2 linked regions of the Daphnia pulex genome follow. The protein of the gene in region 1 interacts with the protein of each later gene in a biochemical or structural test. Links are inferred from orthologs where the notes say so. Each region holds a gene or a part of one and is shown in the gene's direction. Other genes may lie near its edges. The genes, in order: peroxisomal biogenesis factor 19-like and ATP-binding cassette sub-family D member 3-like.

Region 1 (3,433 bases):
AACAGTGGTTAAACTGTGTCTTTTTTAAAGAGTAAAAATGTCCCCCAAACGAACTTCAGCCGAATTCATTACCAATAGAAATTGCAGCCTAAATGTTCGTCCTGTAACTTTATCACATAAAGGTTATTAATCCGTTACAGCTATAAGCTGTTATCTAAAATGATTTAAAACTCTGTTAGAATATGGATCGCGTGTTTAAAACCAAAATTTTTTTATTAACTAGTATCAGGGGTGAAATTGGGTTGGTGCAGGTCATGTTGAATGTTTACATTTTTAATGAATGAAATACAGATGCATTACTTGCATTTTTTTAAGTTCACTCATTTTGATTCATACTTGAATTTCCATTTTATCAGCATTCAACACATTATGTGTCAATTATTTTTTTAAGCAATTGAAGTTTGCCTTAAAAAAAAAAATGACTCCACCATCTCGAAATCATACCAGGTAGGCTAGATGGTGAATTTTCTTGATTTGGTGAACATTCGCGATGTGTCATTCCAGAATCGGTAGTACAGCAATTCGTGAAGAAGAGAAGAGGAAGAATAAAACGAAGCAAGATATTGGAGGATCAGTGAAAACTACTACTCATGTATTGATTTTGGTATCAGCAATGGACAAGCACTATTGCGGCAAGGCAGACCACCGTGTACGTTATAGAATATCACAATTTTTACTGTCATTTTGTCGGAAGACATATTACCTTTACCAACTGAACGTACTTTTTCAAAATTCCTTCTTTCATAGCTTTTAATTTGGGTCTGGCAGGTAAGTGAAATTGATTTGAACTTTGAAGCAAAGGCGGGATGGTAACGACTGCTCGACTGGTAACAACGGGATATAACGACATGTTCGATGTTCTGTTTTCATTTGTTAAAGCAAGACTAAGCTTAAAGCAACCGCCCTAATGGAAATCTTTGATTTTGACTATGTTACGAAATATTACTGTTAGGTTTAGAAAATATTTATGAATGAGCAGTCGCTTCTGTTATTCAGAACAAAAAATACATTTTACTCTCCCAATAAAGACGCAAAATTCAAAACCTAAAAAAAAAGTGATTTGTTTTAATTCATTTTTCACGCCAAATATAATTTTAATAAACAAGCATTCATGAATCATGATGAAGCGCATCTGCTTCATTCACGCACGCACGAACCATCACTAAATACCGAATGATTTCGGCAACATCGCGTTTTATTTATGAGGTAGTATTTCGTCGTCTTGTCTGGTCTTGCACTCTTTTCCTTGTCGAAATTTCCGGATGAGCAAGTTTTGAAGCCTGTGTCGATATTATTGATATCGAAATCTATTTCTACTTATACAATTCTGTACTTTGCTGTAAATAGATACATTTCAGTATGAGTGGAACCGGTTCTAATGATCCAAAGTCTGTACAAGATACGGCAGATATTAAAGAAGAATCTAAAGGAGATGACGAAGAACTAGACGCTTTACTTGACGGTATGTAGTTTAAACTAACTAGTTATTTGCCAACAAAGGAATAAAACATTCATTAAATGTAACAGATGCCCTGGAAGGATTTGACAAGCCACTGCAAGTGCCCAAAACAAAAGACAATGTTAAAGCCGAAGCAGCAGCACCTACAGATCAAGTATCAGATGTTGTGTGGTCTGAGGAGTTTATTCAAGAAGCGAGTTTGGAATTTGAGAAAAATATTCGTTTGATGATGGCAGAAACAGCACCAGGGGCCAGTGGTGATTCTGGATTTGCTGAAAGTTTGTTAAAGGTATCACAAGAAGCTGCAGCTAAAGTATTTGAAAGACAACCAGACCAGGGAGCATCCTTTGCTGATACTCTACGCTATTTAGCAGAAGGAACAGAATCACTTCAGGTAAATTTTTGTGGGTAGGATAAACCAAACTTTTTTATTTTTACTTTAACATGTCCTTATTTTTTCCATAGACTGAAGCTGATGAAGCTACATTAGCCAAAATGCTTGAAAAAATGGCATTTGGACCAGATGGGGGATTTGGAGATGGTGCTGGTGGAGATATGGGAGGTTTGGGTGACATTTTACCTGCAATGCAAGGAATGCTTCAAAGTTTGTTATCAAAGGAGTTGCTTTATCCATCTATCAAAGAGATTGTTAGCAAGGTAAGCATTCACTTGAGAACTGATGATAGTCAATCTTGTCTCTCATAACTTATTGTTATCTCCTTAGTACCCAGATTGGCTCGCAGACAATCGGCCGAAATTAGAACCTGCGCAATTTGAAAAATACAACCGCCAATACGCCGTTATGCAGCAAGTGTGTACCGAATTCGAAAATGATAACGACACTGATGATGCAGCGACGAAAAATAGTCGCTTTGAAAAGATATTAACTTTGATGCAACAAATGCAAGAATGTGGCCATCCCCCTAAAGTGAGTGCGACTACGAATAATTTGATTGATTTTCATTTAATGAAAAATCTTAATTTCAAGGAACTGGCTGGTGAAGCTGAACTGCTACCGAATCCCTTCGGTGGCGCGGATTTTGCTCAATCGATGGGACCTGGTGCCGAAAATTGTGTTGTTATGTAATTAATATAGTATGTTATAAAACATGTTTTTGTTATTGAAATTGGGCTATAAAAGGTATTAGAAGGTCGTTAAAAAAAATTGTTTGAACGGCATTACAACTTAATTTTATCATTAATGGCGTCAATTCTCAATGATTTAAACAAATACGTTTTGTATTTACACGTATGACGAACTTGCCCGTCTCATTTTGGATCGTTGCTCACACTCTGTTACAAGCTTATTAAGTTCATCAGCCGAATAGCCCAACAGTTGTTTGAGGTCACAAACAAATTTATACACAAATCGTTTACCGCTTACTTTGCAAATCATATCGCCATCATAATAATACCTCAGGGCTCGACTGAGTTTCTCATAGTTCATGTGTGGTTTGTTTTTCCTTTCTCCCCATAGTTGAGCCACCATTTCGGGGTTATTTAATTTGAATTCTCCTCCTGTCCCAAGCCAAGAAATAGCATCCCGGAAATTCACATCGGTCAACAGCTCAAGGAGAAACTGCCAGAGTTGTACCTGGCCATTGCTGCCTGTGAAACGGACAAGTTAATTCAAGTTAAAATCACCTTGATCATTAAAGCATACATATACTATATTTTTTAAATACCTGTTCGGTTTCCTGAGTTAGCAATCGAGAACGAACGCGAGGAAAATGTTTCAAGGGGAATCCTTTTTGCTGGAGTAACAACTTTAACAGGCGGTCTTGGCATTCTGGAAGTATCAGATTTAACTGTCAATGGAGTTGTGATATACTGAAGATAAGGCACTGGTTTTTGAATCACCCCTGCATAAAACTTTTTAGTACACGTTTGCTATCGTAAAAATTCAAACTTTGATTCAATACCGACAAATTTGCATTTTCGTAGTAGTTCGAGATGGGTCCAGAATAGATCATG
Region 2 (4,598 bases), on another chromosome or scaffold:
AATCACTTTTGAATTTCTCCATAAAATTTAGCCTGCAGAAACGATAATTTAATTAAATGGACTTATTATTCATTTAAATTTGAAGTTTGGGATTACTTCATTCGAAGAAGAAAGATTTTCTGGATCCTCATCATCGTCGTCGTCATCTTCACCAGAAGAATCCATGCTCAGGTCCCCGTCTTACGAAGATGCAAAAATTAATATTACAGGAATAAAGAAGAAAAGCGATAATATTTGAATTACTCAAAGACACATTAGGTCCTCCATTATTTTTGGTTTTAGTTAAAACATCGTGACAGGTGAGGCAGACTCTTAAAGGCTTGGCTGACTGAACGGGTAATAAAAACTTCTTATTGGAACACGGGCCACAAACAACTGCTCCACATTTTCGGCAATGATGCTTCAAAAAGTAAAACAAATAAACATTTATATCACTTGATACTACACAAAATTCCGATATTTACCCTTCTGTTTAACACATTGAACTGTGACTTGTTGCAGTGCATACAAACATTCGCCTCAGCGTCTGGAACCCACACGGCGGCATGTTCTCCTAGCGGTTTCTTCCCACCTAAATCATTACAGTGAAGTCAACTTTATTTCAAAGTGTTTTAATAAGACTCACTTTTGCGTAAAAGGTCTTCAACACATTTGTTAATGTGGGCAATCCATTCAGCTTTTTCAGTTGCTGTGGCAGCATAAACAGCAAAAGATTTTGATGCAGTACAAATTAACCAACCATTCCTGTAAGCTAAAACACCAAAATAATATTAAAAAATTTGGTATTTTAGTAACGGTAACTTTTCTACTTACGTCCATCATCTTCCAGAGACTGAAGTTTAATCTCTTCCAAAGGGATAATGTGTTGCTTGTTATACTACCAGCACAAGTAAACATTTCTTAAAATTGATGTTATGATTTGAAAAATATTTGTTCATTACTACCTTTTTTTTGCTAATCACAATGTTTCCATAAACCAATGTATCATTGAATAAAAAAAACTGCCTAGCTTTAGGCTTTTTCCGGCACATTTTTGTCAAGACTCCTTCACCAACCAACACCCGCCCTGGAATCCCAAGAGGCTACATGTCAAATATAAATGCCATTAGTCAGGTTCCATTAACAAAAGAAAAGTTACATTTTCTACTCACATGACCAGAACTGCCGAAGCAGCCTTCGACCATGGCGATTCGGCGAGCATTTGCTTCACTGTTCACTGTAACAACGTAAAAAACATATGAGTTTCACGTAGTAACTTGAACCAGTTCCAATAATGTCTCTATAAACAGCATCAAGGAGACTGGAAAACTACTCTTGATTGACATTGAAAACTAGGAATGTGGCGTGTTTTGAAAACCAATTTGAAATTTCTCTAAAATATTCGATAATTTACCTAATTTGTCGACCATCTTCGGCTTGTTGTCATCTGCTCCCAATATGACTCACACGCACAATAGTATCGAAAGTACGGAATAATGTCGTAATTGTTGGGGAAAAAATATATCCTCGCCATCTAGTGGAACCGAACTAGGTAAACCAAGAGCGTGAGCGTGACGTTTTGCAATTCGCATTCGGCTTACAAGCGAAGTGAACGAATTACATTGATTTATGGAGATTCAAATATCAGCATTATCAGCGTTATTTCTTTTATTTAAAAATTACACCATCACTTGACAAAAAATAATTAAAAGCAAAAACCTCGACAAAATTCAGTTCAACAACCTGCTACCTAGATGTCGTCGCTGGACCCTAAGCATGCCTTTTATTTTTTAACAAGTCTGAGGTCGGGGAAATTCCGAGTTCGTGTACCGATAAAAAGCCTCAGGTGTTTTATGGTTATTACAGGATTTTGAAGTTTTCTGCTACCTACCGTGACTCGACACAATAATCGTGGTGAAGGAGTGATAAAGGAAGAATATTTTTTTTACACCTGTTTTGCCCAGCTATGGCTCCAGTCTTCAGTAAACTAGTTAGCAAAAGCCCTGGCTTTTTGTCTAGTATTTTGGGGAAACCGATTGCTGTTACCGGGGGAGGCCTCGCACTTCTGCTGTGGCTTGCTAGTGTTCATAGAACTAATCAAAACAGAAGGTAAATATTACAAAAAAAAACCTGTATGGCAAGTGTTTTACTCTCTTTTCTTTTGTTTCCAGAGCTGCTGCTGCTGAAAGAATTCAATATGTCATCAACGAGGTAAGGATTTAAAATATTCATGTTTTGCAAAGCAATTTTAACAATTTTTTCACAGAAAAACAAAAGGTCAGCTGAGAAGGTGGCAATCGATGGTACATTCATCAAACGTATTGCTGCCATCTTGCGTATCATCATACCTGGAGTATTTTCACCTGAAGCTGGCTTCATGATTTTAGTGGCTGCAGCATTAGTAGCCAGATCCAGTTGTGATATATGGATGATTCAGAATTCAACATCAATTGAAAGGTTATTATTTTGCAATATTTTATTCACCTCCAATTATCTAATGCAATTTTTGGTAATGCAGTGCTATTATTGGGCGCAATTTTCCACTTTTCAAAAGTTATGTAATCCAGTTCATTGCAGCAATGCCAATGGTATGAAGTGTAAATTTGTCAGTTCCAACATAGCAATTTTAATTTATTTTGTGTTTTGTTTAGATTTCTATGGTGAACAATGTCTTGAAGGTAAAATGAATTTTCATTTTAGGTTTCACTGTAGTCCCAATTCCAAAATATCAGTTCACATTTGCTTTTGTGTTAAGGCAAATTGAAATTAAAAGTCAGATATTTTCATTTAGCTTGGATTGGACGAACTTAAACTCCGCTTTAGAACTCGACTGACTCGCCATCTCTATGACCAATACTTAAAGTACGTATTTTTTGTTATAATGAAGTTATAAACAAAACGCTGAACAGCAATGATTTGCAACAGAGATTTCACATACTACAAAATGAACAACCTCGACAACCGAATTTCAAATCCGGATCAACTACTTACAACCGATGTCGAACGATTCTGCTCGAGCATCACAGAACTCTATTCGAACATTAGCAAACCTATTTTGGACATTGTCATCTATGTTCATAGATTGGCTGTTACAATTGGTGGACAAGTAAAACCATTTTCAATTTTTGAATTCATACCTTACCTAATCATTGCTTAATTTAGGGTCCTAGCATTATGGTTCTTTATTTGTTCGTTTCCGGAGTCTTGTTGACTCACTTGCGCCGTCCAGTGAGTCGTATGACGGTTTCGGAGCAACAACTAGAGGGTGAATTCCGCTACGTCAATTCGCGGTTGATCACCAACGCCGAAGAGGTGGCCTTCTATCGAGGAAACGTTCGTGAAAAGCATACGATGTTGACGGCATTCACTCGTTTGGTAATTTTACCTTGAAAGTTGTTTGTTTTATTTCAAACCAGTATCATTTCGTTCATGATTGATAGGTGAGACATCTCCGTCGATTTTTGGAATTCCGTTTCACGATGGGATTTGTGGACAACATAATCGCTAAATGTAGGTTAAATTAAAATCTGAACCCAACAAACAGAATTTATTCTATCGATCCATTCAATTGGCAGATATTGCAACTGCCGTAGGATTTTTTGTCGTTAGTCGCCCGTTCTTTAGTACGACACATCATCTGTCCACCGCTGGATCTAGTGAGCGTTTGGAGGCAAGTATAAAATTTCACTGAAAAAAGAAACACCGATCACCGTTTAATTTAACATTTTTAATCCGTTTATAGCAATACTACAAAAGTGGTCGTATGTTGGTTAAGTTGGCTGAAGCTATCGGCCGTTTGGTTCTGGCAGGCCGAGAACTAACACGACTGGCTGGATTCACATTGCGTGTGACTGAATTAATTACTGTTTTACAAGATTTGAATAACGGCCGATATCAGCGTACTATGGTCTCCAATGAGAACGGTTTGAATTGCAATGCTACTTGTGTTGGGAAGAAAATATTAACCCGAATTTTGTCTCTTTCGAAAATATGTGGACATTTAGGTGAAGGAAAAGTTGTGTCGCGAGTGCCCTTGATTCCCGGAGCTGGTCGAATCATCAACAAGGACAATATTATCCATTTCGAGCACGTGCCCTTGGTAACACCCAACGGCGACGTCCTGATTGAAGACATGTCGTTTGAAGTCCATTCGGGAATGAACGTGCTCGTATGTGGACCCAATGGCTGTGGTAAATCGTCCTTGTTCAGAGTGTTGGGAGAGGTAAGGAAAATCGATGATACGTTTCATTTCATATGTTGACCAATAACCACTGATGCACTTGTCTCTTGGATTCTTTTGAATAATTGAAGCTGTGGCCGGTGTTTGGTGGTACCTTGACTAAACCGGGACCGGGCAAGTTGTTCTACATTCCTCAGCGACCGTACATGACTTTAGGTTCATTGCGTGATCAAGTGATTTATCCAGACACCTATGATGACATGGTGCGCAAAGGAATTCATGACAACGATTTGCTCACATATCTCGATCTGGTTAAATTGACTTACATCCAAGAACGAGACGGCCGTTGGGACGCTGTTGCCGACTGGATGGATGTGCTCAGTGGCGGTGAGAAACAACGGATTGCCGTAAGTATTGCATTTTGTACTTTGAAAAAGTT

The links.
Region 2: the proteins of peroxisomal biogenesis factor 19-like (region 1) and ATP-binding cassette sub-family D member 3-like form a complex in vitro, tested with the Homo sapiens proteins (4 studies listed by BioGRID and IntAct, with this or other methods). The link is inferred for Daphnia pulex from reciprocal best matches to the Homo sapiens genes PEX19 and ABCD3.

What each region holds. Positions count from the first base shown.
Region 1 is NC_060022.1:6,085,341-6,088,773, forward strand, and holds peroxisomal biogenesis factor 19-like, read left to right. Parts: upstream 1-1,202; 5' UTR 1,203-1,359; coding exon 1,360-1,462; intron 1,463-1,527; coding exon 1,528-1,853; intron 1,854-1,924; coding exon 1,925-2,116; intron 2,117-2,183; coding exon 2,184-2,387; intron 2,388-2,447; coding exon 2,448-2,546; 3' UTR 2,547-2,661; downstream 2,662-3,433. Other genes in the region: DNA-binding protein Ets97D-like, read right to left, coding at 2,703-3,067, 3,145-3,321, 3,382-3,433. UniProt on the Homo sapiens protein: Necessary for early peroxisomal biogenesis. Acts both as a cytosolic chaperone and as an import receptor for peroxisomal membrane proteins (PMPs).
Region 2 is NC_060017.1:3,002,885-3,007,482, reverse strand, and holds the start of ATP-binding cassette sub-family D member 3-like, read left to right. Parts: upstream 1-1,759; 5' UTR 1,760-1,945; coding exon 1,946-2,088; intron 2,089-2,150; coding exon 2,151-2,190; intron 2,191-2,245; coding exon 2,246-2,436; intron 2,437-2,497; coding exon 2,498-2,567; intron 2,568-2,630; coding exon 2,631-2,657; intron 2,658-2,770; coding exon 2,771-2,841; intron 2,842-2,904; coding exon 2,905-3,085; intron 3,086-3,141; coding exon 3,142-3,354; intron 3,355-3,419; coding exon 3,420-3,489; intron 3,490-3,554; coding exon 3,555-3,649; intron 3,650-3,721; coding exon 3,722-4,201; intron 4,202-4,290; coding exon 4,291-4,566; intron 4,567-4,598. Other genes in the region: pleckstrin homology domain-containing family F member 2-like, read right to left, coding at 3-32, 97-179, 244-400, 465-571, 626-751, 814-877, 945-1,082, 1,152-1,216 and 1 more. UniProt on the Homo sapiens protein: Broad substrate specificity ATP-dependent transporter of the ATP-binding cassette (ABC) family that catalyzes the transport of long-chain fatty acids (LCFA)-CoA, dicarboxylic acids-CoA, long-branched-chain fatty acids-CoA and bile acids from the cytosol to the peroxisome lumen for beta-oxydation.